Arabidopsis thaliana: one gene and its partners. The protein of the gene in region 3 interacts with the protein of the main gene of each other region in a biochemical or structural test. Each region holds a gene or a part of one and is shown on either strand. Other genes may lie near its edges.

Region 1 (8,419 bases), on a different chromosome or scaffold from region 3:
ATTCTTTCTCATAATTAAAGTAAAAGAATATAATCTCTATCATCATAAACCAAAAAAAAACTAAAGAGAAATGAATCCTAGCTAGCTAGGTGTTTGGTATGGAAAGGGAAACGTTACCCGCAAACCGCGGGCAAGTCCTGTAACTTGGGAGGATCGGGGGCCATGTAACAGGCGAGCGTATCTCTCCAATTTGCAGCCTTATTACAAGTGTGGAGATCGATGTTGCTGTAGTAAAGCACATCTCTAGTGTGATCCCTAGAGTAGAACCGTTTCTTCACTTCCGGGTCCTGCTCGTGAAACCTGCGAATCCCTTCTTTCATCCTCTCCATCACCTCCACCGAGATCCCATGATTCACCACCTGGAAGAATCCCCATCTCTCCGCAGCGTCTCCAATCTTCTCCACCACGCTCCGCCGCGATATCAAATCCATGCTTCCTCCTTTCAGATCCACCGTGGGGATCGTCAGCTGCTGCGAAGGTGGTGCTGTTTGTTTCAGGCTTGTTAGAGTATCCGGAGGTGTATGGAACATGGCTGGAATCTCTTTGATTCCCGAAGCCACAAGCCCTTTCACGCCGGTTTTTGTCTCGTCGAAAGCTTTTGCTTGACTTGAACGATCACTTGACTCCATCTTGCTTCTTCTTTCTTTTTTTTGCAATGCACAGATTTGCATAAGTGCTATTATTCCACATCTTAATGCACATCTTAATACAATTAAATAACAAAAGGAATCGTGACCCATATTAAGATAACAAATAAAGAAATGAATCGCCAAAAACAAGGTCCATTAGTTTATTTCAATTCCTATATTAAAATTTGGATTCTTAATTGGTCGTTTGTCTTTACAAGTAAGAATAGCATCCGGTTTGAACTTTTGTTAATTAACTACACACTTACCATATTAAATCTCATCGCCATTGTTGCTCGCCTAGCTCTCGAAACGCCACTAATTAGCAAAACAACATTTAAAGATATCTCGTTTGGAGGACTTTGGACAATCGTTCCGCTACTGTTCATTTTCTCTCTCTTTGAAGTTTTTTCCAGTTTTTACAGATCTAGTTTTTTCTGCCTCTGTTCTTCATCTTAGGTTATGAATTTGCAAGACAAAGCAGGAGTAAGGCAAGCTATCTTCTCCGGCATTGGAGTGGTGTGGTTTTTCCGGTAAGCGTGGCAGCGGTGGCCCTTTCTCGGTGGATGAGAGGCTTCTCTTCCGTTTCTTCCTGGTTATGGACGTCGGTGGAGATCGGTGAAGTCTTTCTTGGTTCAACCACTTGGTTAGACGCTGTAGCTGTGGCGGAAGACGCTGTGGATTGGTGGGTTTTCAGTGCGTGTTTGATGGTTAACAAACTGGATCTGAGATGGCTGTTGCGGGTTCCGGTTGCTGAAGGGTTGTCTGAGCCATCACCCTTCTTTAGCCTCCGTTTTTTGTCTCCATCAATCCGGATTGAAGGTTGCTTTGCTTTTGGAAAATTTTCAGATCTAAGGTTTTGGAGGTCAGAGGCTTGGAAATGCGTGGTCGTTTTGCGAGGTTGGGGACTCGACCAAATTGGGTGGCGGAGTGTCGGAAACTGGGTTTTTTCCGTTAGGTTTGTTGCAGGTCCGGCCAGCTCATTGGTAAGAGATTTGCGGCAGGACTCGTATACTTCGGCCAATGATCTCGTTCCGGTGGTTGTGTTGCAAAGTAGTGGGCCTTGTATACGACGGTACTAATAGATCTATTTGCTGCCTCCGTTCCACTGCCCAAATCCACCTCTGGTTCTCTTTTTCCGGTGACCGGATTTTTCCTGTTTTGTAACTGTGGACGATTGTAATTCCGGGCCTAAGCCCAATTGGGACTGGACCTTTTTTTTTAAAAAAAAAAAAAAAAGATATCTCGTTTGTGGAGAACGCATGCTAGCAACTTCCCTATCTATAAAATCAGATTTGCACCCCACAAACTAAAATATTATTTACGTACTTGATTAATTCCTACAATATAGTCATTTACAAAAATAACCCTCCATTTGATATTTAAGTCAAAATCAGTCAACGGAACGTGGAATAAATTATAACTTTCGACGCTCCGATCAGATTCATCATCATCTCTCTCTGTGTCGCTCCGATTTTGAATTTGGAATCTCTTAGTTAAGTTGGAAGTTTGTTCTTTGGTCTTTTCGCCTAGTTGTTGTTGGATCTGTTTTAAATTAAGCCAAAAACCTCCGATTAGATCGATCTCGGAACCGTCGAAATACAGTTCACCGTATCCGTTGTTTGTTTTTGGTATATGTATGTTTGAGAAGCTCTTACCATCTTTGTTTACAAGTCTGGTTCTTGGTAAACTTTAGCTATGAACACCATCGTCGTTGCTCAGTTGCAGAGACAATTTCAAGACTACATCGTTTCTCTTTATCAACAGGTTCGTTCCTAACCAAACTTTTCTTACTTTGGCTGGATTCTCACTTTTGGGCTTAGATAAGCTTAAGGTGCAGTTATGTGTGAATTTGAATTTTTTTATTTTTTTTATAAAGATGATATAATATGTTGTTGTTTTGAAGGGATTTCTGGATAATCAGTTCTCAGAGTTGAGAAAGTTGCAAGATGAAGGAACCCCTGATTTTGTAGCTGAAGTTGTCTCTCTATTCTTCGACGACTGTTCCAAGCTTATTAATACCATGTCTATATCCCTGTAAGCTTTGCTTACTCTCTTAGGCTTCTCTTTTTTATCTAACATGGGACTTTGTCTCTAATCCTCCTTCATATTCATTTTTGAGGGTGTAAATTAGCTTCATATATTCATGACAGCATTTTATGAGTTTATTATAAACATTAGGGAGCGGCCAGATAATGTGGATTTCAAACAGGTGGATTCAGGTGTTCATCAACTCAAGGGTAGTAGCTCCAGGTTTGTCACAGTGAACACTGCTAAATTTGCTTTTCTAGTTTTAAGTGACCAAACTACATTGATTTTAATGGCTCAGTCTCTGCTTTGTACTCAGTGTCGGTGCAAGGAGGGTGAAAAATGTGTGCATATCTTTCAAGGAATGTTGCGATGTTCAGAACCGTGAAGGGTGAGTATATTTTTTAGCTTGTTGATGCAAAATGTTATTGGATCTCTAAACTTTTTTATTATATGAGAAGCTATTCTTCTAATTCACACACAAATTGTGATAATGATATCTGGCACAGGTGTCTAAGGTGTTTACAGCAGGTGGATTATGAATATAAGATGTTAAAGACTAAACTTCAGGATCTCTTTAATGTGAGTTTTAAACTTTGCGAAAACCTACTTGTTCTGCTTGTGTATTCTTTTTACTGAGCCTTTTGCTACTTCTCATTCTTCTGTTTCTGTTATGTTATGTTGTTGCAGTTAGAGAAACAGATCCTCCAAGCTGGAGGTACAATTCCTCAAGTGGATATAAATTAGACCGATGCGTTTCTCGATTATGCAAATGTTCAAGGCTGATGACACAAATGAAACCGAAACTCCTCTGTAGTTTTGTTGTTGTTGTTATGTTTTATATTGATTAATGAGGTTCAGCAACACTGTCCCTGGCCAGATATCGTGTCTTGTTTAGACTCTTAATTGAGTTCTAAGAGTAAAAATTGAATTATTAGTCTATAAATAGACATGTCCATATGTATTCCTGTCACAATGCAACCACCATTTGGAGCCTTTGTTCTGACCATCATGACTTAGAATTCTCAGCATTATTCTGAATCTGATATACTCTATTGGATTCATGATTTTGATTTGAGCCGTAAAGCATGCGGGTACTAGTTAGCACTTTAGACGATTTCATTATGTGTGGATTAATCAAGAATGATTTGTTTGAATTATGGATAACACGATTCCATGGTCTCTTTATTTTGTTAACGGTATTCCATGGTCTCTTTTATCAACATTATTGTTATAGGGCTTATAAGACATGATTGTGACAATAGATTGAGAAAGGATTGGGCATGTCTTGTTAGGTATGTATTTAATATAATGTCCGAATTACCTCAAACTAGGAATGAAATAAAAAGAAAATGTCGAAGAATTATCAATAGATTGTTTATAAGTGGAATAAAAAATGTGAAGCCATGTGTCTATGGTAATCACTAGGTGGAGCATTTTTTTTTTTTTAAAGGAAGAGTATGTGAAGTGAAAGAGACTAATGAAACATAAATTGAAGGCATGGAGGCGTGTAATGTAACAAATAATAACAAAGCTTTTCTCCTCTATCCTTCATTTTATCATATCCATCTTCATCATTTTTATTTCTCTCAACCAATGTTTTTAAAATAATTTTGTAATATCCTTATAACATGGTTGGTTTTAGGGTTCTTCATGAAACCGATTCAAAAGTCAAAGCAAATCTTATATCGGTTACTATGTGATCTTACCTTCTATGGAGAGAGGATTCGACGACACACCAAACAAACACAAGAGTCCCAAAACGAGTGCGTTAATTGTCTCGTAGTGCGGACCATCTTAGGGTTTAGACCTTTTTAATTTTGTTCATTATGATTGGAACGTATTGCTTTGGCTTTCTTGCAAAGCCAAGTTTTCTTTTCATAAATCTAATTTGGTCTACTCATCACTACCTAGTCTCTCTTAGAATGAATACTAAATCATTTTTATTATGCATGGTTGGTATATGTGAATCAGTAGCGAATCATTATTTGAAACGTATTTAGATGTACGCTATGAGTTAATTATTTTCAGAAAACGGTAGTTACACTTATGAAACTAATTAATGCACATCAAAAGTAGAGACAATCTGCTAATATACGTACACAAGGCAAAAGATTGTACAGTAGAGGTATATATCGAGCTATTTTGTTGCTTGCGTATGTAGTGAAACAAATGTTAAAATTGGGTAAGCGTTATAAATGTTGACCTGACCATCTTATGCATGTGTTGTTGCTAAAACTTGTGGTCCAAGCTCCTATTCCTTTTTTTAACATACAAACAACAAGTTTTGTGAAAAACCAAATGAGTAAAAACTAGAGAAATATAACATGTCACTGTTTTTACCATATTTACTCTTTTTTTTTCCTTTTGCTTTTAAACTTAAAGTCAATCTCTTATGCGTTGTCCAACTTTTTTACCAATTATCTTTCTTTACGCCCACGGAATTGAAGGACCATTTGCCAGCTACCTTTGTAAAATTTAGACAGTTGGAACAACCTTACAAATCTTTTTTTTTCTCTTTCACCTATCTAACTGTCATAGCTAGCTTTTACATCTTTCTCATATTCATTTTATTCATTCGTAAAATATTAAAACTTTCTTTCATATATAAATATAGATTAATACAGTTATATATTTTTTGGTCAATGAAGTAAGTTAGTAATTAGTATAATGGCTAAATGTAAACGAGTGAAAACAATTGACAAAAACATTTGTTGATTTATGCAAGAGTCGGTATACGAAACATTTCTTCGATAGATGTGTTAATCTATAACTTCATCAAAGAAGCCCTATGGCGAATCAAACATTTAGTACTAACTAGGGACTATAACATTTAACTAATCAAAAGTAGTTGTGAAATAAACTTTTGGTCGCAAGATTTGTTGGAAGTGGATATAGTACAGTAAAGCTTAGTTAGATATAGACTAGGACACACTTCAAAGTTGATATTGACTAAAACTTTCATCAGTTACATTGACCATTACTTAACCATCTATCATAAGCTAAACTTCCTACGATATGCGTTATGATTTGTGTTAAATATCAGGAAAATTCTTTATTTTATTTTTTCATCAACTTCAATCAGGAAAATGAAATTGTAACGCTGATTTTGTGTTTTAAAATCGAGCAAAATATATCTGGAAAAAATAATAAAGTACAATTATAAAACAAAGGTAGTAGCTAGTACAATAGAGTAATTATCGAACCAGAAAGCTGACGTGTCACGGAAATCTCGCTCGTCCAAGCTGTCACTCAAAACAGTAAAACTGAAACGCACACAAAACTCACGTGACGAGAAGACACACTTTTTATCGTCTCTCTCACCGAACCTAATCTGTTTCTTTACGAACCTAAGGCTCGGACAGCCGTTTTACCATATTACCTGTTCCCCATAAAAACCACAGCTAAAAGAAAAGAAGGCACCTTTTTTCATGTTTTTACTGACACAATCCAAATGTATAACCTTTCTTAATTTAGCATTCTAATTAGTGTTTTTGTCCGACACATTAAATTTTCATATCATCGTCTTCCACCACAAGCCACCAAAAGAAACAAACAAAAAGAGCGGAACAAAGAGGAAAATGAAAGTATAGAGAATTTACCAAGTATCTTTGTATGTATGTTAAACTGTATATTAGATTAACTTACCATGTAGATTGTAGAGAATATGTATTCTTCTTATTAATTATGATGTGAGTACAAAGAGAAAGATAATCTAGAGTTTAGATTACAAACTTGATTGAGAAGTAACTTAACATATATACTTATCTTCGTATATTCTTCTCTGTACAAAGACTGACACTATTAGACAAAATAAAATATAAAAAAAGGAAACAAAAAATAGAGGAAGAAGAAAGAAGAAACAGACGACGACGTTGATTCATTTCTTGGGTTTTTGGCTTCCTTCTCAAGCCATTTTGTTTACTCTCTTTCTCTTCTCTCGATAAACCTTTCTTTTCTTCCTTTTGCTAATCGTTTATTGATAATCCTCCATTAAAGCTCTCACGGAAGCTCCCACGAGAACACCTTCTTTCCACCACATAAACCAGAGACTTTCCCTCTCACGAGAAATCAGAAAACAAAACCCATTTTCTCTACTTTACAGCTCGTCTCTGTTCTTCCCTCTGTGTATATATATAGTCTCTGTTTCTTGAACCTGTAACGGCTAAGTCTGAAGAAGAAGAAGAAGAAGATGATGATGAGATTTACCAAGTTGGTTTGGTGTTTGATGTTCCTGCTTCGATTCGGCTTCTTCACGGAGGCGATTCTCGACCCAGTTGATTTCTTGGCTCTGCAAGCTATTCGTAAATCCCTCGATGACTTGCCAGGTTCCAAGTTCTTCGAGTCTTGGGATTTCACTTCTGATCCATGCGGCTTCGCTGGCGTCTACTGCAACGGAGATAAAGTAATCTCTCTCAATCTCGGCGATCCTAGAGCCGGTTCACCCGGTTTATCGGGTCGGATCGACCCAGCAATAGGCAAACTCTCTGCACTCACTGAGCTCTCCATTGTCCCCGGCAGAATCATGGGTGCGTTACCGGCAACAATCTCTCAGCTAAAAGACCTTCGTTTTCTCGCAATCAGCCGGAATTTCATCTCCGGCGAGATTCCGGCGAGTCTCGGCGAGGTTCGTGGTCTCAGAACACTGGATTTAAGCTATAATCAATTAACCGGAACTATCTCTCCGTCAATCGGATCGTTACCGGAGCTCTCCAATTTGATTCTCTGCCACAACCACTTAACCGGATCAATACCACCGTTTCTCTCACAAACTCTAACCCGAATCGATCTCAAACGCAACAGCCTCACCGGCTCAATCTCACCGGCGTCTCTCCCTCCGTCGCTTCAATACCTCTCACTCGCTTGGAACCAGTTAACCGGATCGGTATACCATGTTTTACTCCGGTTGAACCAGCTTAACTACCTTGATCTCAGCTTAAACCGGTTCACCGGTACAATCCCCGCTCGAGTCTTCGCCTTCCCGATCACAAATCTTCAGTTACAACGCAATTTCTTCTTCGGTTTAATTCAGCCGGCGAATCAAGTGACGATCTCCACCGTCGATCTCAGCTACAATCGATTCTCCGGTGGGATATCTCCGCTTCTCTCAAGCGTTGAGAATCTCTACTTAAACAGCAATCGTTTCACCGGTGAAGTCCCGGCGAGTTTCGTGGAGAGGTTGTTATCGGCGAACATACAGACTCTGTATCTACAGCATAATTTCTTGACGGGAATACAGATTAGCCCGGCGGCGGAAATCCCGGTGAGCAGCTCGCTGTGTCTGCAGTATAACTGTATGGTGCCGCCGTTACAAACCCCGTGTCCGCTAAAGGCCGGCCCACAAAAGACTAGGCCCACTACACAATGCACCGAGTGGCGAGGGTAGTTTGGTAAATTACGCTTTCTTATATAATACTATGTTTTTATTTTTTTGGTTAAAGTTTTTGAGGAACAGAGTGTTTCATCGTGTTAAAAAAAAACTTTTAAAGGAAAAAACGATTCGTTTATTCGTTGGTGAGAATGAAGATTAGAGTTTTGGTGTGTACAAGTGTCTTTGGAATAAGGATTATATTGATGTGAGGATGAAGATTGTCCACTATCCATCGTTTCTGCGTATTTAAAATTGGAAAATGATGGTTTTGTTTTATTGAAGAGTGTTCAAAATGGTTTCATGAATGATCTTGTTTACCAAAATTTGTTTTCAGAAAAGTAATAACTTAAAATTCGTTTTAATAGAAAAAAAGGAGTGGGAGATGACAAATGAG
Region 2 (8,303 bases), on a different chromosome or scaffold from region 3:
TCTTCCTCCACAATGTCGAACTGATGATATTCTCTATGTTTCTGATCCTTGTGAACATTTGGATCAAGGAGAAGATGGTGATTTGGGATTCTTCCGTGGGATTTTCAAATCGTTTTCTATGTCAAAGGTGAGGAAGTTGCTTATTAAGAAAGGGACACCATTTCATCCTACGGAAGTTTGTCCGTATTGCAAAGCGAAGCTGTGGAGTATGCTTCAGGCGAAAATGATACCACAGAGTGCTAGCTGTAGATTGGGGGCTTATGAAGATAGCATTGAGTATTATGTTTGTCTCAATGGGCATATGCTTGGAGTTTGTACACTCTTACCTTTGTCTGATTCTGAAGGGGCCTCCGAGTTTCAGTGACTATAAATTGCCGACCTTGCGTTTTCCGTTGCAGAAAATGCTTGAAGCTTGGTCAGAGGTTATGATGTCGTCTCTCTGTTTCTTATGTACTGGTGAATTGTTGCTGCTAAACTTTGGGAATCATCACTTTGCAAAGAGTTGATGTTAAGTGTATCATAAGCTCAAGTTGTGCAAGGTTTGACGATTTCAGATTCTCAATTTACCATTGGTGTGCATCTACAAACCATTTGTTGATTCTGTGCATGTATATGTATTAACAACACTTGCAAATTGTAATAGACGCATATATTTCTGCTACATTTATGATCATTTGAACCCAACAAAAAAACTAGATATATCTTCCACATCTCTCATCTTGTATCAACTGAATTACTTCTGATCTCGATTGTGCTATGACCTGGTTTCTTTCTCAATCCAACATTCTCCATCATGCTTCTCACCTTCTCCATATCTTTCCATCGTCCTAAAGCCGCATAGATGTTTGCCAACAACACATAGTTGCCCGTGTTCTCTGGTTCCAGCTCGAACAACTTGTTTGCTGCCATTTCTCCAAGCTGGACATTCTCATGTGTGACACAAGCAGCAAGCAACGCACCCCAAACGGTTGACGTTGGTTCAAATGGAATTGTTGTGATGAGATTGTAAGCTTCGTCTAACCGACCTGCTCGACCAAGGAGATCAACAATGCAAGTGTAATGGTTTGATCTGGCTAACGTTTTGTAATGTTCAAGCATGAACCTGAATAATGTCAAGCCTTCTTCAACCAAACCCGAATGACTGCAAGCATTCAAGGCAGATGTAAATGTGATTTCGTTTGGCGTTACACCAGATCGAACCATTTCCATGAAAACTTGCAACGCATTATGACCATCTCCGTGCATCCCGTAGCCGGATATTAACGCACCCCATAGAACTACATCTTTGCTCTTGTGTTTTTCCTGGATTCCATTGAATATCTTGTGAGCAGATTCTAATGTTCCACACTTTGAGTAAACATGAACCAACCCTGTAGCAGCATCAAGGCTTGACATAAACCCGGTTTTGGTTAGGTAGCAATGGATATTCATTGCTTGACGCAAATCTGCCAAAGCTGCATATGCTGGAAGGAGACTGTTTAATGTAGCAATATTGGGCTCCACATCTTCCCGTCGCATCCGTTTGAATAGACCTAACGCATCACTCACAAGTTCATTCTGTACACAACCAGCGATAATTGCACTCCAAGGACCGGTATGGTATTTCGAAGCCCCCGAAAATACTCTAAAGCAGAGGTCTACACGTTTGCATTTAGCATACATGCTGATCAAAGATGTTTCTATAATGATATCGGAATAAACCTGTTGCCTCACCGCCCAACCGTGTAAACATTTACCATCATTCACCTTCAAAGCATCACCACACACCGAAACAAGAGAAGCTATAGTCACAGCATTAGGTCTTACGCCTTCAAACTGCATCAATCTACACAACTCTAAAGCGTTTTCCACATCTCCATCTTCAGTATATCCGTTAATCATACAAGTCCACGTGATCACATCCCTTCGTTCCATCCTGTCAAAAACAAATCTCGCTTCATCCATACGACCACATTTCAAGTACATATTCACCAACGCATTCTTCACCTCAATTTTATCCCCTAACCGCTTCTCTTCCACCAACTTATGAACATTCCTCCCCATCTCCAAATCCTTCAAGTGACCACAAACAGGCAACATAGAAACAATCGTAGCATGGTCAAGATCAACACTTTCATTAACCATCCAATCAAACATCATTAACGCATCATTCATATAACCATTCCTATAATACCCACTAATCATCGTGTTCCACGAAATCACATCACGGTTCTTCATCACATCAAACACATCCCTCGCCATTTCAACCTTCCCAAAGTTCATATACATCGCTAACAACGCGTTCTGCACATACTTATCCCTACCAAACCAACTCCTCAAGATCCTCCCATGAACAACCAACCCCAATTTCATCGATTTCAATTCTCCAGCAGCTTTAGCAACAAAAGGGTATGTATAACCATCCGGAACACACTTAACCCCCTCACTAACCATCCTAATAAACACGCTAATCGCATCGTGATACAATCCTTCACGCACGTACATTCTAATAACAATGTTATAAGAAAGCAAAGAGCTTTGAGGCATTTCCTCGAACAGCTTCCGTGCATAAGTGATGTGACCACATAACGCATAAGTTACGGAGAGAGTCGAGAGAATGTGGCCGGAAACTCGACCGCCGGTGATGACGTGGCAGTGTAAAGCTTTGGTTTTTGAAATTGATTGAGTAGCTGCAAAGTGATTCAAGAGAGATTGGTATTGCTTGACGCTACTAAGTGCGTTGTTGGCTCTGCGCAAAACTTCACTCATTTAAAGAAAAAAACGACTGTTGAAAAATCTATTGGGTCGCAATTTTTTAAAAGCAACGACATATCTAACCAAACTGCGTGACGTTTGTATTTTACAGTGAGAAATGCTTGACGTTTTCTTATTTTACAGTAAGAACTGCGTGACGTTTGTATTTGACAGTGAGACTGCGTTGACGTTTTGTATTTCACAGTGAGAACTGCGTGACGTTTTCTTTCTTAACATTAGCTGATGGGTTTAACTTTAGGTTTCAGCTTTCACAGGGGACACTTGTGAGTGTTTGTTCTTGGTTTGTTCCTTTTGCCAATGTCTTCGTGAAGCTTTTTGCTTTCAGAGTCTATTCTTTTGCGCGTTGTCTTGTGTAGCTCTCCTTGAATTTTCTGCTTCTTATGATGCTTCTGTGTCTGGAAATATTCCTGTTTTTGAATACATAACTCACTCTTGTTCATATGGTCTTATGAGATGCAAATTCATACTATTCAGATAAGATCAGTACCAAGATTCAAGAGATGATGATACAAAAGATACATAGTATTGATCTATGAACAACAATCACCTCTCTTTTCCACACATTCTCAAGAGTTTTTTTTCTTTTTCGAAGCAACAAATTCGAGTAGTACTCGTCTGAAGAATGCAACTGGATGATCATCATCTTGCTGTTCTGTTGTCGATAGGTCTATTGTTTATATATCCACTTGAGGGATTCTACCACCAGCTTGGACAATCTGTTGCTCAAGCTGCAACAAAACAATGCAAGACTTATTCACGAAATTCGAAAGCAAAAAACCGACACAATTCACGTAGCTTTTCACTCACATTGAACAGATCTTGAAGCTTTGCTTTTAATGTCTTGTACTCAATATCCACTTGCTGCAAACATCTCACACACCTATAACAGAGATTGTTTCCCAAATTAGTTTCAACAATCAAATGAACATAGCAGAAATTTGAGATTCTCTTAAAGAAGAACCGGAAAACAAAAGCTTACCCTTCATAGTTCTGAGAGTCGCAACACTCCTTGAGGGTAACACAAAGACCTTTGACTCTCTTGGCACCAACACTTCATAGAACAACAAGAAAGGAGCTCTTCACTGAGACTAGATCCGAGATTAGACTAAAGGACCGAGACTATACAGATCAAATGTGACATACCTTGAGCTACTACCTTTGAGTTGATGAACACTAGAACCTACCAGTTTGAAATCTACATTTCCTGTCTGATCTCTGAGTATACATATGAACCAATCATTAAACCATATCTGCTAGCTTTTGATGATTAAACTCGTAAAAGAAAAGTAAACTTACAAAGCTCTAGCCATATTACTGATAAGCTTCTCACAGTCTTCAAAGAAGAGAGTAACAACCTCAGCCACAAAATCAGGACTACATTCATCTTGCAGCTTTTTCAATTCTGTGAATTGATCATCCAAAAACCCCTTTACAAAACCAACACAAAGAATCTCAGAAACCCATTTCACAAAATTCCCAATTCCAAATACAAGCTCCAAGTACCCTAAAAACAGTAGAGAGTAGTCATCCCTAAAAAGAAGACAACTTTGAAAAAGAGACAATAACCCATTTCACAGACCCTAAACCCAATTCCCAAAATCCCCAATTGCCATATACAAGCTTCAATAAGAACCCTAAAAACGTAACCACAAATTCAAAGTTTGCTTCACCAGAAAAGTAATCACTTTGAAAGGAGACGACTTTGAAAATGGAGACAATAACCCATTTCACAATCAGTAAACCTAACTCTTAAATCCCCAGTTTCCAATTTAAAAGCTTCAATAAGAACCCTAAAGACTGTGGAGAGCCATCTCTAAAAAGGAGACTTTAAAACTCAACCACAATTTCTAAGTTCTCTTCACAAGAAAGTTAATCACTTTTATCCTGAATCTCTAAGGAGAGATGCTAAAATTTACCTGGTGATAGAGACTAATGGTGAAATCACAAAATCGTCTCTGTAACTGAGCAATGAGTGTGTCCATGGCTCTCTCTACTCGTCGTGAAGGCAAAAGCAGAGAGAAGAAGAAGATGTAAAGTTTGTTTGAAATTGCAATCCCAATAAAGAGATTCTTACAGATCATCAAATTTGGACAGAAATAAATAAAGAAATAGTCACAAAGCTTTTCCATAAAGGGCAGAGAAAAAGAATTAGAATATGATTAGTTGTCAAAAAGACAACTTTTACAAGTGAGAAACATTGATTTAGGCCATAAAAAATGGAATCTCTAATTCATGATTGATACATTCATTCATTCACTCAAAGTTTTTAGCATTTTCCAATGTTAGGTATGTTTCTGTTATGTCAATCCACCAACACTAAGAATCTCTCACGCTGGAAGATTCTCTATAGACAAGTTCATTTGAAGCATTACCGTGTGGACAAGACTGAAGAACATTGGTTCTATTCTTTTGACATGAGCTTCAGAGAATCATATACTCTCATCAACTTGACCTCATGAAAACAACTTATAGTGGCAGATTTTGCTGTTTATGACAAACTAAAGGGTTTTTTGCACTAATATTAAGTTGTTTGGTAACATACTTATTAATATTATATCGTAGAGGCATTTAGAGTTCTTTCTTACCAAAATACTCTACCTTCTTTTTTTTTGCTATAACAGATTTTGATATTGGACTTGTTTTTTCGGCTGTTTAGATCTTTTTTTGTTTGAGTGAAATGTTTTATTTTTCAATTTGTTGGAAACAACTAATATGATCGCGAGTGTCATTTTGAGAGTTGCGGAGGCAGCGAGCTGGCTATATAGTAAGGTCAAAGGAGGTAAATCTGGCTTTATTCGGTAACACATCTAAGTTTAGACATCGAAAGCAAGAACTTTTGTTTAGAGGCATTCACATTTAAACTAGGAAACTTTGGGTGAGAAGTCCACACGTCTTGGCTATATATGAATTGCTAAGCTGAAGCAATATGAGGTGTTACATACCTCCTGCAAAATTAAGGTCTATATAATATAACTAGAGCCACCCCAAGCAAAATTAAACAATGGTTGTTAGCGCCAACAAATTTGTAAGGTTTATTTAGAAAATATTAGCATATATAAATGGTATAACTTATGGTGAAAGATTCATATATATGCTTAGGATAGTATATAATGATTAAGAAAACAAAGTGTAAAATTATAAGTGTTAAATCTTGGTGACCTGAGTTGAGTTGAGAATTGAGTTGTGAGATTAATACCAAAGAAAAAAGTGACCTGACTTGGATCTTAAAATCTTTCTCTTTTTTTGATGAGACGGATCTTAACATCTCTCTCGTTTATTGGTAAGGATCTTAACTACTCTCTTTAATTTAGTAAATATTAATTTAAAGAGATCTAAATGTCCCAAAATCTTAATAAAATTATAAAAAACTCCAAAAAAGAACATTCGGTCCGTGTGTAGCTATGTTCGGATTAAACGTTTTTAATAGGTAGGTATTGGATCACCCCATGCTTAGCAAATTTTTAAACACTAGATATATATATACAAATTTACTATCACAACACAAAAGATAAAGATCCACCTTTGGGAGGGCAGACCATGCACCACACCATTAATTAGAGATCTTGCATGCATATTGATCTCATAGATGCAACATTTGTGGAGAATGAAAATACCATCCCAAAAATTGAATATCATGGAGGAAAATAATTGCAACTTGTCCGTCAAGGATAAATGCCTCGTGTAGAAATCATCATAACACCACGTACAACTCCATGATATTGCTCTAGAACATATCTATTGTTCGTAAAGAGAGAGAATTAAGAATGTTCAACACTTAACATCTAGAAGAAATATATTCCATTAATTAATTTATAGGAATTTAATTTAGGTAAAGCAAGTCCATATCAAAACGCAAAAGAATTTAGAAAGTCCATCATTTGACAAACTAAAGAACAAACTATTGATGAAAAGTACTTAGCGAAGATAGCGGCAAATAGGGTGGTCTCCAAACAAAGTTGCATTCCTTTGAGAGCCAGGCTCGAACCTTAACATGGCTTCATCACACGCATAGTTCATCTTTCCACTTGTCCCATATCTACAATCCGGAAGAAGCAATCGCGATCGGAACCTTATTTCACCTTTTTCCTTGATATCCTTCATAATATCTTTTATAATCACACCCTCCATGTCTCCTTCAGAAGCAATCGATGAAACCCTAATCAGCTGAGCCCACCGTGGTATCAGACTGTAACTGATCAATCATGATAAGGAATAACACAAAAATATGTGAACAAATAAGCTGAATAAATTATTAAAAATTCTAAAATATAGACAATAGAATAGAAAAAAAGTTTAACCTCTCTATGGATGAAGTAGCAATGGTAACACCTCTGTATATTATGGAAAGCTGAAAATCTCCTTTGAGACACATATACCAACCAGGAAGATCTCTAGGGATCCTTAACAATAAATCCCATTTTACACTAAGATGAGTCTCGGTTATATTAAGGACCGTGAAATCCATAGAAGGTATTGTAATATTTGGGACATAGTTTTCTTTTTCTTTATCTTGTTCATACCCGCAAAAGGTCATAGCAATGAAGAAAGCGATACAGAACAAGATGACCACTAAGACGACAAACTTCGGATGGTCTTTTAGTGTAAACGGAGGCAATTCAGATGTGAGTTTGGGAACTAATGCTTCTTTTTTCATTTTTTTCTGTGAGAGAGAGAGAGAGACGTGTATATAATCAAAGTTTTTTTTTTTCTTTTCTTTTTTTCTTATAATCAAAGATTTTTATGTCGACGTTAATGTATTGCTATAAATAGCGTTTTTCTTTTACAAAAATTTAATGTGTATCGATCAAAAAAATGTTTTATATGTGTATATCTTTTTACTGATATCTTTCCCATTTTGTATTGTGTTTCGTTAGTTTTATTACATTATGCTTTAAAGTTTATAAGACTTTAGAGTAGTGTAAGGAAATCTAAATCAAGAATTGATTCAATAATCCAAAAAATATGTGTGGGAAATATTATTACCTTATATCAATGTATATTTTTGTTGATGAAAAAATTGTATCTGTTGTTACCTTTTTTGCATAAGGTTTCCAATAATATCTTTTGCATGAGGTTCCTAAGAAAATGTATCTCTAACCACTCTTTTAAAAGGGAGAGATACTATGTTTGGGCTTTGTTTTCAGCTCATTCTCCTTTTTTTATTTTTTGTAATTTGATTCAAATTAACCGAAATATAATTTTGGAATTAATTTTAAGCCCTATAACTGAACCGAATAATCCGAGTAGCGACCGACTCGAACCGAACTTAATTTCGGTTCAATTCGGAGAGATTTTTCAAAAACCGAATTTCCTAAAACCAAATAACCCGACCCGAATAAACCGATTTCACGTAACTCTCACACCTAACGTTCACAATGAAAAATAATAAAATATAATCAAAATAAGCTGAGGTTACTGTTGGAGATGAATGATGACAATAGATATGAGTAACCTCAGCTTAGTCATCTCCAACGAAAAGATATATCATTATGACATTGACATTACATATGAGTTACAATAATTTCGTGCAAGCAACCACTCTGCGACTT
Region 3 (5,499 bases):
TTTGGTTGAAAGTTACTTATCTATGGTTTCTTGATTCCTGCGTTATTATGATGAAGAACCGCCTCGTTGCACTCATCACAAATGTCAAACCTGGAAAGCTAAGAGATGTAATGTCACAAGGACTGGTAATACTCTCTTCTGTCTGCCTCAATCCAGCTCATCAGCTATCAAAATATTTCACACTCTCACATTTGCTCATTTTCTGTGTTTTTGATTTCTTTGCTGCAGGTTCTTTGTGCTTCAAGTGAAGATCACTCGGTGGTAGAGCCGTTGCTACCACCTGCTGGTGCTAAACCAGGAGAGCGTGTTTCATTTTCAGGGTACATAGTTTTAACAATATAACATCGAACCTCTTTGATTGCTTTATTTACATGTTTCCCCTCCAGCCATTAAACTCATATATGCTCTTTTCTTTTTATTTTATTGTTGTTCTTGTTTATCTCAAACTCAAGAACCCTTTATCGAAATGTTTATATAGGATTGAAGGAAAGCCAGAAGATGTACTGAACCCAAAAAAGAAGCAACTAGAGAAGATAACACCGGTATGTGTTTTTTGCCCTTTATTAGGTTCCAGACTTAAACAAACCGAAGATGCGAGTACTGTGTTTGCATTATTATACGTAAACATTCAATCTCACGAGGACTTCGGTTAATCACATGCATTTGCAGGGTCTCTACACTGATGAAAATGGCGTAGCCACATACAAAGGCATACAATTCATGACCTCGGCTGGACCTTGCACTTCCAGCATCCCCAAGGCGACCATCAAGTAGTAAACTCAGTTGATACTTCTCTCCTCTACTCTAGCGTTTTTCTTTGATATTCGCAAACTCAGTTGGAAAAAGAAAAGATGTTCTTTTTGTCACAATTCGAATTAATCTAAAAACTTTCTTCTTATTAGCTTTTTGACAAACATCATTGTTTCAATTTCCCTTTTGAGAACTCTCTGCTACTAGATACTTAGTTCCATTTTCTTTGTTCACTCCTTTCGTTCAAGCTGTGCAAGTCCACCATTGGATTGCAACGTATTACCTACAAATATCCACTTAGCTACTTATGGGGTTTTTTCAATCAGATAAACCAAGCCATTCACTCTGGATTGAACTATCAAACCAATTGTGTTCAAATAAACTTGCAAATTACTTCAATTAGAAGAAACAACCTCCTTTTGTTTTGATTCGACGTAGATGATCTTACAAGGAAGGATGATAAAGAATCTTAGACCTGGCCCATGGGGATCTCTAAAAGAGATTGGTGGTCCATTTGTGACAAAAAGTCATTACCTGTTTCCATTTATTCCAAGGATTTGAACCCGAAAAATAATAATGAAAAAGTTGATATCTAAAGAATTATCTTATCAGCTTACAAGATCCTGAAACAGATCCGTACGACTGTCACCGGACACATATGTTTCTTTATTTAGTTTCACAAAGAATCAGTCCTCCAAAACACACAACTTCTTTCTTATATTAAACACACACAAAATCTTTATTCTTGTCCCAAAAAACAATTATGATCTTTTTTGAGGTTCTTTGGCTTTTATTATACGATTTTTCTTCAAATCATATCAGATTGTTACCGAATAAATCTTTTTCATATCATATTTTCAGTTCTATGAATCTACTACAATTTTTTAATTTTAAAGTGGTCCAAAAGAAAAGAAAAAAAGAAACCCCACACGATTCGAAGAACATGTCCTAACAAGTAACACAATACAAAAAGACAAGTATATGCAACTTTAAATCTATAACGACTGGTACTGAAACTAAAACCCCTAAAAATAAGAGATCACGAAATATCCGTGATATTCTTTGATGCAATCTCTTCCCCATTGCTCTCTGTTTTTATTTACTTTTAAAAATTATTCTGCAGAATTATATATAGTTGGGAAATCATAATGGAAAATTCTTCACCCACCTAAAAAATCAAAGAAACCATCATAAATACCATCACCAGAGATTCACATGATTCATGCATACACACTTCTGAGTCTGTCACTTTCTTCTTCATTGTTTGTGTTTTGTCTTTTTGATTTATTTTTGTTGAAGATGGAGAACTAAAAGCAATGTCTGCAAGGTCTTTATATTAATGCTAGAGTCAGTCTCGCTTATTATCAAGTTGTTTTCTTTATCAGTTACTTGACATTTAAGGAACAAAGGAGATCATGAACAGTTCAGGAGGTTCTTGTTCGTCTTTAATGGATGTGGTGGCTTATGATCATCATCTTCATCATGGTCATGATGAAGAGCTTCATGTTTTAGCTGTAGATGATAATCTTATTGACCGTAAACTCGTTGAGAGGTTGCTCAAGATCTCTTGTTGCAAAGGTTCAATCATTTTACCTTTCATGTTTTATAATCAATCATTACTTTATGCAATCTTTGTCTCTAAAATGTGAATTTTTGCAGTGACAACAGCAGAGAATGCGCTTAGAGCATTGGAGTATTTGGGTTTGGGAGATCAAAATCAGCATATTGATGCATTGACCTGTAACGTAAGCAAAAAAAAAACATATAAAATCTTCAAGATCTATGGATTTTTTTCCTTAGGACATATTTGATATTAGGTTTATATATGTGTGGATTTTCTAGGTTATGAAGGTGAGTCTAATCATCACCGATTACTGTATGCCTGGAATGACAGGTTTTGAGCTACTCAAGAAAGTGAAGGTAATTATATAACAGCTTCTTGGAACCAATATCCAGAGATTTATATTAACCTAAAAATCTTCTGTGTGTTTCTTTAGCAGGAGTCATCAAATCTGAGAGAGGTTCCTGTTGTGATAATGTCTTCAGAGAATATTCCTACTCGCATAAACAAGTAAGAACAAATTGAGATCAGATTAAGAACTTGTTTCTGTGTTTCTTATAGTGTAAGTAATTAGTAAAGATCATCAATCTTAATGTTCTGTTTTGGTCTTTTGAAAGCAGATGTTTAGCGAGTGGAGCTCAAATGTTTATGCAGAAGCCTTTGAAGCTTGCTGATGTTGAGAAGCTTAAATGTCATCTCATGAACTGCAGAAGCTAACCATGAGAGATTTATAATGTTAGCCCTAACCATGAAACGTTTTCATTGTGTCTTGATTCCTTATTTGATTATTTTACATGTTTTTCTTGAAATCAAGAAATGTTTTCACATGCCCTATAGTAATCTTTATACACAAAAGGAATCATAAAAAGTGGTTGTGGTGATGAAGATGATGACGATGTCTTCTCTCTTCCAATCCTAAACATCGAATAAATGGATAACATGAGAGGAAGAAACATCTCTTTATTCCTCTAACCATTGAAAATGGAGGCCACACGCAACAACAACAACATTGATGAGTCTCTTCTATCGTTGTTTCTTTCTCTTTTCTTCTTCCTCTTCTCTTATCTCTTTTGCGGCCATTGTTGCACAATATTGACATCGTTTCTGCGTGAAAAGAAGAGTAAGAATCTTGTGCAGCAAGAAAGGTCTAGAATTTCAATTTAGAACAGAAAAAATTAATACGAGAGAAAAAAAAGAGCAAAGGATCTTAACTGAATCACGATGAGATTCATATAAGAGTACAATCCTGTTTTTCTTCTCTTACCTCGGAAAATTCACCGGAATCTTATGAATGGGCTCGAAAATCTTTGGCAAGGAAGATTAATGGTGAGAGAAGATGATGAATCTCTTTCTTCTCCGAGAGACAGAGAGAGAGAGTCGAAAGTCGAGACGCAGAGGAGAAATTGTCTCCTCCGGAGACTTGTACGTCTCCATGGAAGCTTTCAACATCATAACACGTGTCATTTCATATGTGTCTCCGTTCTCATTACTTTAGATCGGACCAAACCTACCAATCTTTTTTATGTTTTTTATTTTATATGTTTTGTTTATGTGCATGATGTTATTATTTTTCTTTCTTTTTCTGATTTGTGTATGTACCGCACGATTTCTCGTAGTATACACATGATTTGTATTTGAGACTGAAATAAAACCATGCTATACGTAGATTTGGTACTACACGTTATTTAATTTCAAATCATATTTCTATCATTCTGTCCAAAAGAGGTGGCAATTAGCGGAGCTAATTGAGTTTGATACGTATCCAATTTGGATAATGAATCTTGGAATTCAATGTTCACCAAAATCTAACCTAACTTAAACTTGTTTTGAAAGTTTGGACTTGAGTCTAGTGGTAGTGAGGGTGTTTAATTTTGAATAAACTAAACTAATCTAATTTGAACCAAACAATTCTTATCTACAAACCGAATAACCCATAATTTGAGCCTAATTTTTAAGTACAGATAGTGAATTTAAAATGGTGACACGATACGATATGATATTTTAATGGTGATACAAAGACGACACAAACATAAAAATCATTAAAACTATTAAATAAACTATTTTTGCTTGAGAATTAAACATATATATCTAACTAAAATTGAATTCAAATGCGAAATCAAAACTATATAAAGTCATCCGCAAAAGATTGGTTCTCTACTACATTAAAACCAAAAACCCGGCGCTTGAATTAAAGAGATTCTTAAACTTTTGGTCTTCAACATTCAGCTTATCCGGCGCTTGTATTAAAGAGATTCAACAACTTTGTTCTGCTTTTCTCTGGAGTGGGCCTGATTTAAATCCTTCTGAAGCTAATTTGGCGTTTATTTGCAGCACCAACGTCTCTGTGGAGTAAGTGGATTCATGCCTATTTAATTCGGAAAAAACGTTTTGGACAGTCAAGGGAAATTCATCTCAAGGTTCTTGGATGTGGAGGAAACTCTTAAAGCTTAGAGACTTGGCAAAGGATTTCTATCAGGTTGAAATAAAAAGTGGCAGAGGGACATCCTTTTGGTATGATACATGGTCCTCTTTGGGGAACTTATTTGATACTTTTGGAGATCGAGGGTGCATTGATTTGGGTATTACAAAAGAAGCCACAGTGGGTGACGTTTTGGCCTCTCAGAGAGGTAGACGACATAGAGTGGAGACTTTAAATAGAGTGGAAGAGGTCATCAGGGAAACAAGGGTGAGGAGGAAGGTTGAAGAGGAAGATTTGATTCTATGGAAATGGAAGACAGGTTTTAAACACAACTTCTCCTCAAATGAAACTTGGAAAATGCTGAGAGTTGAAAAACCAATCTGCAGATGGGCGAAAGAGATTTGGTTCTCGGAAGCTACACCGAAGTTCTTTTTCATCACTTGGCTTGCAATTCATGATAGACTAACAACGGGTGCAAGAATGAGATCATGGAACACACAAGTGGATACTACCTGCAAATTCTGTGCTGAACCGGTAGAGACAAGAAATCACCTCTTCTTTCAGTGCCCTTATTCAACACAAGTGTGGGAGAAGCTCATGAAAGGCCTACTTCAAGGTCATTACACTTCTTCTTGGGACCGCATTGTTACGCTCCTCACAAGTTCGTCTCTTGGGAGGAAACATCTTCTACTGCTGAGATATACATTTCAAATAAAGGTACACACCATATGGAGAGAAAGGAATAATCGCCGACATGGTGAGGAGAACC
Region 4 (8,647 bases), on a different chromosome or scaffold from region 3:
CTGTTGTGCAAACCATGGAGGAAACAGCTTTTCTTGGTCATCTAGATAGCAGCAACATCACATGCCCTTCTCCAAAAGGGATTCTGAAGCAGTCTCCATTACATTCTTCTGCAGTCAGGAAACCAAAGGTTTGCATTAATCTCCCAGACAATGAGATTTCCTTAGCACAGAGCTACAGCTTTCTGAGTATGGTAGAGAATGATAACGACGGGAAGGAAAACAGAGGAAGTCTCTCGATGAGATCTCCCGTGTGTCTTCCCTCTTGTTGGTGGGACCAAGAAAGCTTTAACGGATACAGCAGCAGAAGAAGCATAGCTGAATTGTTAAGAGAGTTGGATGCAGACATCTTGGCTTTACAAGACGTGAAAGCAGAGGAAGAGACACTTATGAAACCATTATCAGATTTGGCTTCCGCCTTAGGTATGAAATACGTGTTTGCAGAGAGCTGGGCGCCTGAGTATGGAAACGCCATACTATCAAAATGGCCCATAAAGAAGTGGAGAGTTCAGAGAATTGCTGATGTAGATGATTTTAGGTAATACAAAAAATCTCTTTTGCTTATCTTACATTGATTTTCCTCTTCCCACTATATCATTGTTGATGTAAATGTCTTTTGCGTGTGCAGGAATGTGTTGAAGGTGACTGTAGAGATCCCATGGGCTGGAGATGTAAATGTGTATTGTACTCAACTTGACCATCTAGATGAGAACTGGCGTATGAAGCAGATCGATGCAATTACTCGAGGAGACGAATCTCCCCACATCCTCCTTGGAGGCTTGAATTCTCTTGATGGCTCTGATTATTCCATAGCAAGATGGAACCACATCGTAAAGGTACAATTTCGTTAGATCAGTCATTATTTAGTTGGTCTCATATATAACCAAAAACCATGTATTGTAAGAACAGTATTACGAGGATTCTGGAAAGCCGACGCCTAGAGTTGAAGTGATGAGGTTTCTCAAGGGAAAAGGATACTTGGATTCAAAAGAATTTGCAGGAGAATGTGAGCCTGTAGTCATTATTGCCAAAGGACAAAGTTAGTTTCTCCATTTTCTCTTAACTTGCAAAGTTCAATGTAGTAATAGTACTAATATGTGAAATTCTTGATCTGATGCAGATGTACAAGGAACATGCAAGTACGGGACACGGGTCGATTACATTCTGGCATCTCCAGAGTCACCTTACGAATTTGTTCCTGGCTCGTACTCAGTTGTTTCTTCCAAAGGTACTTCTGATCATCATATAGTCAAAGTCGATTTAGTTATAACCAAAGAGCGATCTCGAGGTAACTTCAAACATTCACGCAAGAAAGCAAAGCAGAAGATCTTTCAGATAAAAGCTAATTTGATGTCGAAAGATACATGGAAACTAGGAAATCTGATGTCTTCATAAAGTTTGGACACTGATTAAGAAACAACACTTGTGTATATGATAACGTTTATTCCCATCATATTAAGATGCAATACAACATTTAGTCTACATATTAATAGCTATGCTTACAAAGAACTAAATAAAAGTTTAAGTAAACAATGATATTCTTGTACAATCTACAACAAATCTTGACAAATAATTTAGAAACAACTGAGGTAACCGATCTTAGGCAGAGACCGAGGCTTTCTTGGTCTCCTCTTCAGCACCTACCTCCTCAGCAATTGGCGCGTACCCGATTCCACTTCGTTTGCTCGGAAACAAAGCAAAGATAGTGGCTGAGGCAACACCCACGGCAGGAGGCAAAGCCATGACAAGTGTCTTCTGTGTTTCCCTGAACCGAGGATAAAAGCAGCTCGCGGTATTAGCGTCAAGCAGCACCAGTGTACCAAACACAGCCAGCACGAAACCCGCATGAACGAAATCCGCTATCCTAAGCTTGTACTTGGATAAATCCACGGATCCTGGCTCCGCGTAAGTCCAAAGACCTTTCTTGGTGACTATACCGAACTTTCTTGATCCGTCAACGCCTTTGAAACTATCGGTAAAGCATGAGAAGACGCAGGAAAAGCTGCAAAGGGCGACAAGAATGCTCGACATGACCTTATTACCTGTGGAGCATTCACCGTCGTTAGTGAGGACAGGGTTAAGTAGAAGGTAGATAAAGAGTGTTCCCGTTGGGAGAAGCTTTATAAGACTCTCTAGGCCTGTGAGGGATTTGTTTGTGTTTGCCATGTTTTCTGATGAAGCTGGAGAGTTTGTTTTGGGTATGAGCAAAGAAGTTTCGGACATGAGCTTGAACCTTAGAGTTAGATGTATAAACTATAAAGTATGTTCTTGGCTTGATACGTGTGTCGGTATTTATAAAACAATTTTGAGATGATAAATCATTGATCCGGTCCGAGATGTTGGATTTAACACCGTAGAAGAATTGGTAATAACATTGACTAAGTCAAACTATTTTAAATTTTGTCTATATGTCTACACACGAAGACTCAATAATTTCTAAAACGGTTGATTATAATTTCTTCGATAAGTTATTGAGTTTTGGAACTAAATGCGAAGAAATTTCTAAGGCGTCGAATAAAGCACACGTTTGGTGATGAATCTTGACTGAATCTAAAGAGAAGTTTCTCTTATGGATCCGTAAAAATTTTAAGACTATACAACGACTTTGAATGTCTTTTGAATGTGTTGTTTTTGTGTTTATATGTTAAAATGCGGTTAGTTTTCTTTTATCAAACATAATTTGTAAACGTGATAACACAAAATTGATAGAGAATATGGACTTGTGTTTTAAAATCTACGTTTACATGCATTTGTATTTTACATGATCTAAAAGTGTGTTTATCGTATGTGAAACCATTACGTCAACATGGATTGTTTTTACGGTATTGTGTTACAAATGTAAATACACCATTTTAATATCTAAACTCACTTTTTTCTTCTTTTTGTTTGCGGTTGAACCAACCAAGCCCATACACGAGATAAAATTGACAACTAATTTATTTTACTTGTGTAAATTGAACTTAACCTGAAATTGGCAGTGAACCAACAAATCGACTAACTCGTTCTGCATGTTTACCTTTTATTTGTTTTTAGTAAATAATATCGTATTTGGCTGCGTCTACAGCGACTTGTATTCTAGCTTTAAACCTTTTTAAAAACTTGATATGGCTATTGGCTATAAGGATTTTCTTATAATAAATTGCTTGGAGATATGGGTGAGTGCAAACTCTTTCTTGACTTTTTACGTATAAATTTGTTAAAAACTAAGGAAGCACAGTTTAACTTTTATACGGAGATAATATAATGTAAGATATCAAAATTCATAATAAGATTTGAAAGGTCCATAATTAGTGATGGAACCTTCTTACGATGGACCCATTATCAAGTAAGAACCACTAATAATCTTTGGTTAGTTAGTATATATAATACGTTTTATGCCATTCGTTAAACGCATCCTACGTTCTTGCATGTCCCATGTCCATTCATCATGTGAGACGTGTCAAAGCGTTGATGTTTACCCAAATTTGCAGAAATTAATACAGTGAAACTAATTTACTATTTTTATTTTGGCTTGACGTGTTGAAATTGTTATTGAAAATACGAATTGTCTAAGGAAAAAATTGTCATTTTACTGTGCATGAGGAAATAGATAAGAATGGTGTGTATGAGTATGATTGGGAAAGTATTTGGAGTGACGAAAATACCAGGGATATGCAAATGAAGAAATAGTGTGGTTGAAAAAGATGAGACTGGTGTGCTGATCGTTGTAGTTGAAAATGTTACGTAAAAATATATTGTATGTAGTACTCTATGAAAGATTGAAAGGATATGAGCTATTGCATATATATTGTTAGGTTGTTTTGAAATATTGTTAGTTGAAAGAAATTTATAGAGCAAGTGACAAACGAGTAAATAGAAAAGCTTTGAGAAATCACGAAAAAACATTTGAATTGTGATAAGTGGTTGATTATAATGAAAAATATTGGTATAACACAAAATATGATAAATCCTAGTTTAATAAGAATTCCACCAAATGATTGGACGAGATATATGACTAAAGAAATTATAAGCTGCATTTAGTTTTGGTTTTGAACAACATTACAAAGTGTTAGGCGGCATTTGAGTTCTCAAAGTCACAATTTCCTTGATAAACCCATTACGTTACGATATTTGTGATACATCAATATAAAATAAACTAACCAATCAATGTATTATTATAATAAAAGAATTGCTAGTTGGACAAAAACAATGAGGATCAAATCAAAATTATATTACAAATAAAGTTTCCCTAGAGATGCTATTTGAAAGATACATTGAATGCGAGCTGTGCATATTAGTATATGCTTTTCATCAGTAGTACAGTAATTTAAATATTCGAACCAATAAAATGTTTTAAAATCTTAAGAAAAAAAAAGACAAATCAAGAAGTATCAAATGCTCTTCTTATGTCTTTATCACATTTGCAAAAAAAACGAGGAAAAAAAGGCGCGAATGGTTAGACAGTTGACAGCACGACCAACTTCCATTCTTTAAGAGTTTCTTTCTTTTTGGATTCTTTTCTCACATCCAAACCAAAATTGTAATAATAAAATACAAACTATTTAAATTTAAAAAATAGGGTTTTTTGATACGGAGGATTTTGTTCTCATCTTTTAAGTACTGAGGATTTTGTTGGACATTTTCTTACCTCCATTATTGGCAGAGAGAAACAAAGAAATAAAGAACAAAAGCAAATAACAGAGAATATGGATTTGGTTCAGAAGCAGAAGAGTTTGCAAGATTACACCAAATCACTCTTCTTAGAAGTAAGTTTTTCACATTTGAAAAGATCAAATAATCAGAAAACTTGTTTTAACGTTCACAACTTTTTCTTTCTGGTTTTAGGACTTGTAGTAAAAATGGTTTTAGGACTTATAGTAAAAATGTGTTAGGCTTTTGTAGTTTCTTTGGTAAGATAATCATGAGTTTAGGTTATGTAAAATTAGTTTCTGATTATGGAAAGTCTTTTGTTTTGGGTAAATACAAAAAAGGGGATTTTGGACAGCCAGTTCTTGCAGCTGCAACAACTACAAGATGAAAGCAATCCAGATTTTGTTTCACAAGTTGTCACACTCTTCTTCCAAGACTCTGATAGGATTCTCAATGATCTCTCACTTTCCCTGTAATCTTCTTTACACATTCTCTCTTTAATCTTTTTTTTTTTGTTCTTTTCCAAAACTTGTGTTTCTCACTGTTTTTTTATGCTTCGGGCAGAGATCAACAAGTTGTAGACTTTAAAAAAGTTGATCCCCATGTTCATCAACTCAAAGGTAGCAGCTCCAGGTAACAACAAAAACAAAACTGGCTATTTCTGATTTTAATCCAATGATAATGACATTTTCTTGATCTTGAAATGTGTAACAATATATATTGCCAAAAAATAACAGTATAGGAGCACAGAGAGTTAAGAATGCTTGTGTTGTCTTCCGCAGCTTCTGCGAGCAGCAAAATGTCGAAGCGTGAGTTTAATCGATATGTTCGTTGGTCCATTCGTTATTTCTTTGTTTTAAGATCTGATTAGGAAAATACATCGTTGAAAAATTTCAGATGTCATAGATGTTTGCAACAAGTGAAGCAAGAGTATTATCTTGTGAAAAACAGATTAGAGACTCTGTTCAAGGTAAAAAGTCAAAGAGACTTTTTTTTTTTTTATAAAACCACCCACATAACTCTTATCTAGTTATACAATATTTTGATCAACATTTGAAACTTATCTGATTCAATTTTGGTTTTGATGATCGAATCTATGCAGCTGGAGCAACAGATTGTAGCTTCTGGTGGAATGATCCCGGCCGTCGAACTCGGATTTTGAGTGAATTTCATAAACATCTCTGTCCATTGTTGTTTCATTTTGGACTCTCTCTTCTTCCTCTCTTTATGTGACTATCAAAAAAAGGTTCTTATGTGAACTTCTTTCTTTGTGCCATTGGAAGAGTGAGACATGCTAAAACGTTTCTTAATCCACATCTAAATCCCACATATGTAAAATAAGATCTCAAGCAAACATATAGTCATGAGTCATGACTACAATTATATAGAGTTTGATCAAGATAATGTACGCATCAAGGTAATGTGATCCGGACAACTTGGTTAGGTATTAGGTTGTTGTTTTACTGTAACTGTTAGAAGTAGTTAGAAGTCTTGTAGTCCTTGACCAAAGAACACAGATGGGCCATATGAATTTTAGTAGCCCAAGATGATAACAAAGGGCCCGTACTAAACATCCATGATGATCTTGGAAATCTTTTTTTTATTACGATTGCACTTCGACGAATCTCTAAAGATTTTCAGACATTTATACAATGCAATTAAGAAAAAAATAAAGTTATACTATGTGAGTGCACGTTAAATAATGTAGCTAAAAATAAAATAATGACAAAATTCTTAATTACTTACAGATCCGTGACCTGTCGTCGACTATATATGGCTCCAATTTATAACCTCATGTTCGATTTCTAGACTTCTAGTTTACCACTTATAACTTTGTATTGCTCTATACTCGTATTAATTAGTGCTCCATCTTTTTTATTTGAACTTTTTTGGGTAAAGAATGAGCGTTCCCTTCATCGTTTGTTCATAACTTTACTAGTTCCTTTAATTGTACCTTCTGTTTAATTTTGTTTTCAAGTGACCTTTTTGTCTTTTCAATAATAATTAAGATTTCCAGTTCGTAATTTCGTATGTATAATGAACCATACCATTAATTATGCAATATGACAAAAATATGATGTTTATATGTTCTTCCACCTTGTTATTATCGATTACAAATTTAAATAAGGATCATAGGGTAAATAACACTTTTTTTTTTTTGGTTATAATCAATATCTTATTCCTATTTTATTGTTTCAAACATGCATAGTATCCAAAGGGAAGCATGTTTTGGTGAAAATATATGCATAGAAGAAGAAGACTAATCAGTAATCAAGACAAGAGATAGGTTGAATAATTCCATTAAGTTTTCTCCTATCTGTAGTCTAAATCACTAGTTACAACTTTCAACACACATGAAACACATTATACATGCATCATTATTCATTAATGTGTTAGGTTACGCTACGTATATTTTGTGTAGATTTGAAAGTACAGATATGTAATGTAATTATCATACAAACATCTCTTAATTAAAGTCTCCCACAAAGCCACAATATGGTGTAAGTGATTCCCGTTGGATTAGTACATTAGTCAATACACTACTTTTTTGACGGCTACTGATTTAAGTTTCTATTTGAACTATCCCCAATAATATAAATATCACGTCGATGTGATTGAGACGAGCAATAGAGCCGTGCTTAACTACTTTTATAGTGAAAATTAAATAAGGCTTATGTATCCAAATACTTGTGGTCAACTTTTGTGGTCTGAATTATTTATCATTTTTCTGTCACTTAAATTAAATCATATACCTTGAATTATACCAACATCTAACTTGGGAATAAGAGGTGTGTATCTTGCGGACAAATGAATTTAGACCGTTGTTAAAGAGCGTAAACTTTAATAAGACGTTAACATGTGTGTGAACAGAAAGCTATTCTCTAAAATTTTGATATTAAATTTGTACAAAATACATTTCTACGTGGATTTAAGGTGTTAAAAGAGTTCGATTAGTAAGCTTTACATTTTATTGATACTACCACTATATATACGTTGGAATGTCATATCAAACACAGATTAACAAATTCTCTCAAATGGCTCTCTCCGTATTTGCCTTTCCTTCTTACATAAATAGGAATCCTTCACTAAAATATCTTAAACCTTCTTCTATGTCTTCTACAAAATATGTAAGAGTTTTTTTCTTTTTTCCCTCTTTTACTTATTGATTACTATATGAAGTTGCATTATTATCAAAGTTCTGCAGATTATCCGTGAGAAACTATATACGTACACTAGTTCTTGTTAAGTTTGTGAAAGTTATTGAATTAATTGAAAATAACATAACATCTTTTTTTGGTTCAGTCAAAAGTAAGAGCAACAACATTTTCAGAGAAAGGTGAATATTATTCAAACAGACCACCAACTCCTTTATTGGACACAATCAACCATCCAATGCACATGAAAAATCTCTCCATCAAAGTATAAATCCTAATCCAAGTCTTGAACCTTGTTTTGTGTCAAATCAAGGATGTGATGATGAAAAAGTGTTCTGCTATGTAGGAACTCAAAGTTCTTTCGGACGAGTTGAGATCTGATGTTATTTTTAATGTTTCGAAAACTGGAGGACACTTGGGTTCGAATCTTGGTGTTGTTGAGCTCACCGTGGCCCTTCATTACATCTTCAATACTCCTCATGATAAGATCCTTTGGGATGTTGGTCATCAGGTTGGTTATCTCATTGCAAGCATAAGTTTTCCTTTAGCTACATGTACAAGTGTTTTTAACTTGTTTTGTTTTTGTCTTTTTGACAAGTCTTATCCTCACAAGATTCTAACGGGAAGAAGAGGAAAGATGAAGACAATAAGGCAGACCAATGGCCTCTCCGGCTACACCAAGCGAAGAGAGAGTGAGCATGACTCTTTTGGCACCGGGCACAGTTCGACCACACTATCTGCAGGCTTAGGTCATACTTGTTATTTTCTTGTGTCACAAGAAAACAAGAAAAATCACTTTCCTAACATGCATGCGGAAATTGTGAATCAGGGATGGCTGTAGGGAGGGATTTGAAGGGGATGAACAA

The links.
Region 1: the proteins of RR16 (region 3) and AHP5 form a complex in vitro, tested with the Arabidopsis thaliana proteins (one study listed by BioGRID).
Region 2: the proteins of RR16 (region 3) and AHP3 form a complex in vitro, tested with the Arabidopsis thaliana proteins (one study listed by BioGRID).
Region 4: the proteins of RR16 (region 3) and AHP1 form a complex in vitro, tested with the Arabidopsis thaliana proteins (one study listed by BioGRID).

What each region holds. Positions count from the first base shown.
Region 1 is NC_003070.9:845,835-854,253, forward strand, and holds AHP5 (histidine-containing phosphotransfer factor 5), read left to right. Parts: upstream 1-1,958; 5' UTR 1,959-2,324; coding exon 2,325-2,393; intron 2,394-2,532; coding exon 2,533-2,663; intron 2,664-2,807; coding exon 2,808-2,879; intron 2,880-2,973; coding exon 2,974-3,045; intron 3,046-3,163; coding exon 3,164-3,236; coding exon of another isoform or gene 3,237-3,293; exon of another isoform or gene 3,294-3,344; coding exon 3,345-3,401; 3' UTR 3,402-3,787; downstream 3,788-8,419. Other genes in the region: 2A6 (2-oxoglutarate (2OG) and Fe(II)-dependent oxygenase superfamily protein), read right to left, coding at 118-740; AT1G03440 (Leucine-rich repeat (LRR) family protein), read left to right, coding at 6,847-8,040. UniProt on the Arabidopsis thaliana protein: Functions as a two-component phosphorelay mediator between cytokinin sensor histidine kinases and response regulators (B-type ARRs). Plays an important role in propagating cytokinin signal transduction through the multistep His-to-Asp phosphorelay.
Region 2 is NC_003076.8:15,745,374-15,753,676, reverse strand, and holds AHP3 (histidine-containing phosphotransmitter 3), read right to left. Parts: upstream 4,947-8,303; 5' UTR 4,884-4,946; coding exon 4,671-4,883; intron 4,182-4,670; coding exon 4,051-4,181; intron 3,970-4,050; coding exon 3,898-3,969; intron 3,806-3,897; coding exon 3,734-3,805; intron 3,635-3,733; coding exon 3,562-3,634; intron 3,483-3,561; coding exon 3,429-3,482; 3' UTR 2,786-3,428; downstream 1-2,785. Other genes in the region: EDL2 (EID1-like 2), read left to right, coding at 1-364; AT5G39350 (Tetratricopeptide repeat (TPR)-like superfamily protein), read right to left, coding at 715-2,748; AT5G39330 (transmembrane protein, putative (DUF1163)), read right to left, coding at 6,670-6,946, 7,053-7,408.
Region 3 is NC_003071.7:16,968,093-16,973,591, forward strand, and holds RR16 (response regulator 16), read left to right. Parts: upstream 1-1,761; 5' UTR 1,762-2,165; coding exon 2,166-2,328; intron 2,329-2,409; coding exon 2,410-2,495; intron 2,496-2,592; coding exon 2,593-2,670; intron 2,671-2,747; coding exon 2,748-2,821; intron 2,822-2,931; coding exon 2,932-3,028; 3' UTR 3,029-3,142; downstream 3,143-5,499. Other genes in the region: AT2G40660 (Nucleic acid-binding, OB-fold-like protein), read left to right, coding at 57-125, 229-320, 479-542, 670-774. UniProt on the Arabidopsis thaliana protein: Functions as a response regulator involved in His-to-Asp phosphorelay signal transduction system. Phosphorylation of the Asp residue in the receiver domain activates the ability of the protein to promote the transcription of target genes.
Region 4 is NC_003074.8:7,575,573-7,584,219, reverse strand, and holds AHP1 (histidine-containing phosphotransmitter 1), read left to right. Parts: upstream 1-4,430; 5' UTR 4,431-4,682; coding exon 4,683-4,742; intron 4,743-4,967; coding exon 4,968-5,098; intron 5,099-5,190; coding exon 5,191-5,259; intron 5,260-5,363; coding exon 5,364-5,435; intron 5,436-5,523; coding exon 5,524-5,596; intron 5,597-5,728; coding exon 5,729-5,788; 3' UTR 5,789-6,508; downstream 6,509-8,647. Other genes in the region: AT3G21530 (DNAse I-like superfamily protein), read left to right, coding at 1-535, 626-833, 907-1,036, 1,118-1,392; DMP1 (transmembrane protein, putative (DUF679 domain membrane protein 1)), read right to left, coding at 1,597-2,220; DXPS1 (1-deoxy-D-xylulose 5-phosphate synthase 1), read left to right, coding at 7,626-7,754, 7,930-8,046, 8,128-8,292, 8,380-8,530, 8,611-8,647. UniProt on the Arabidopsis thaliana protein: Functions as a two-component phosphorelay mediators between cytokinin sensor histidine kinases and response regulator (B-type ARRs). Plays an important role in propagating cytokinin signal transduction through the multistep His-to-Asp phosphorelay.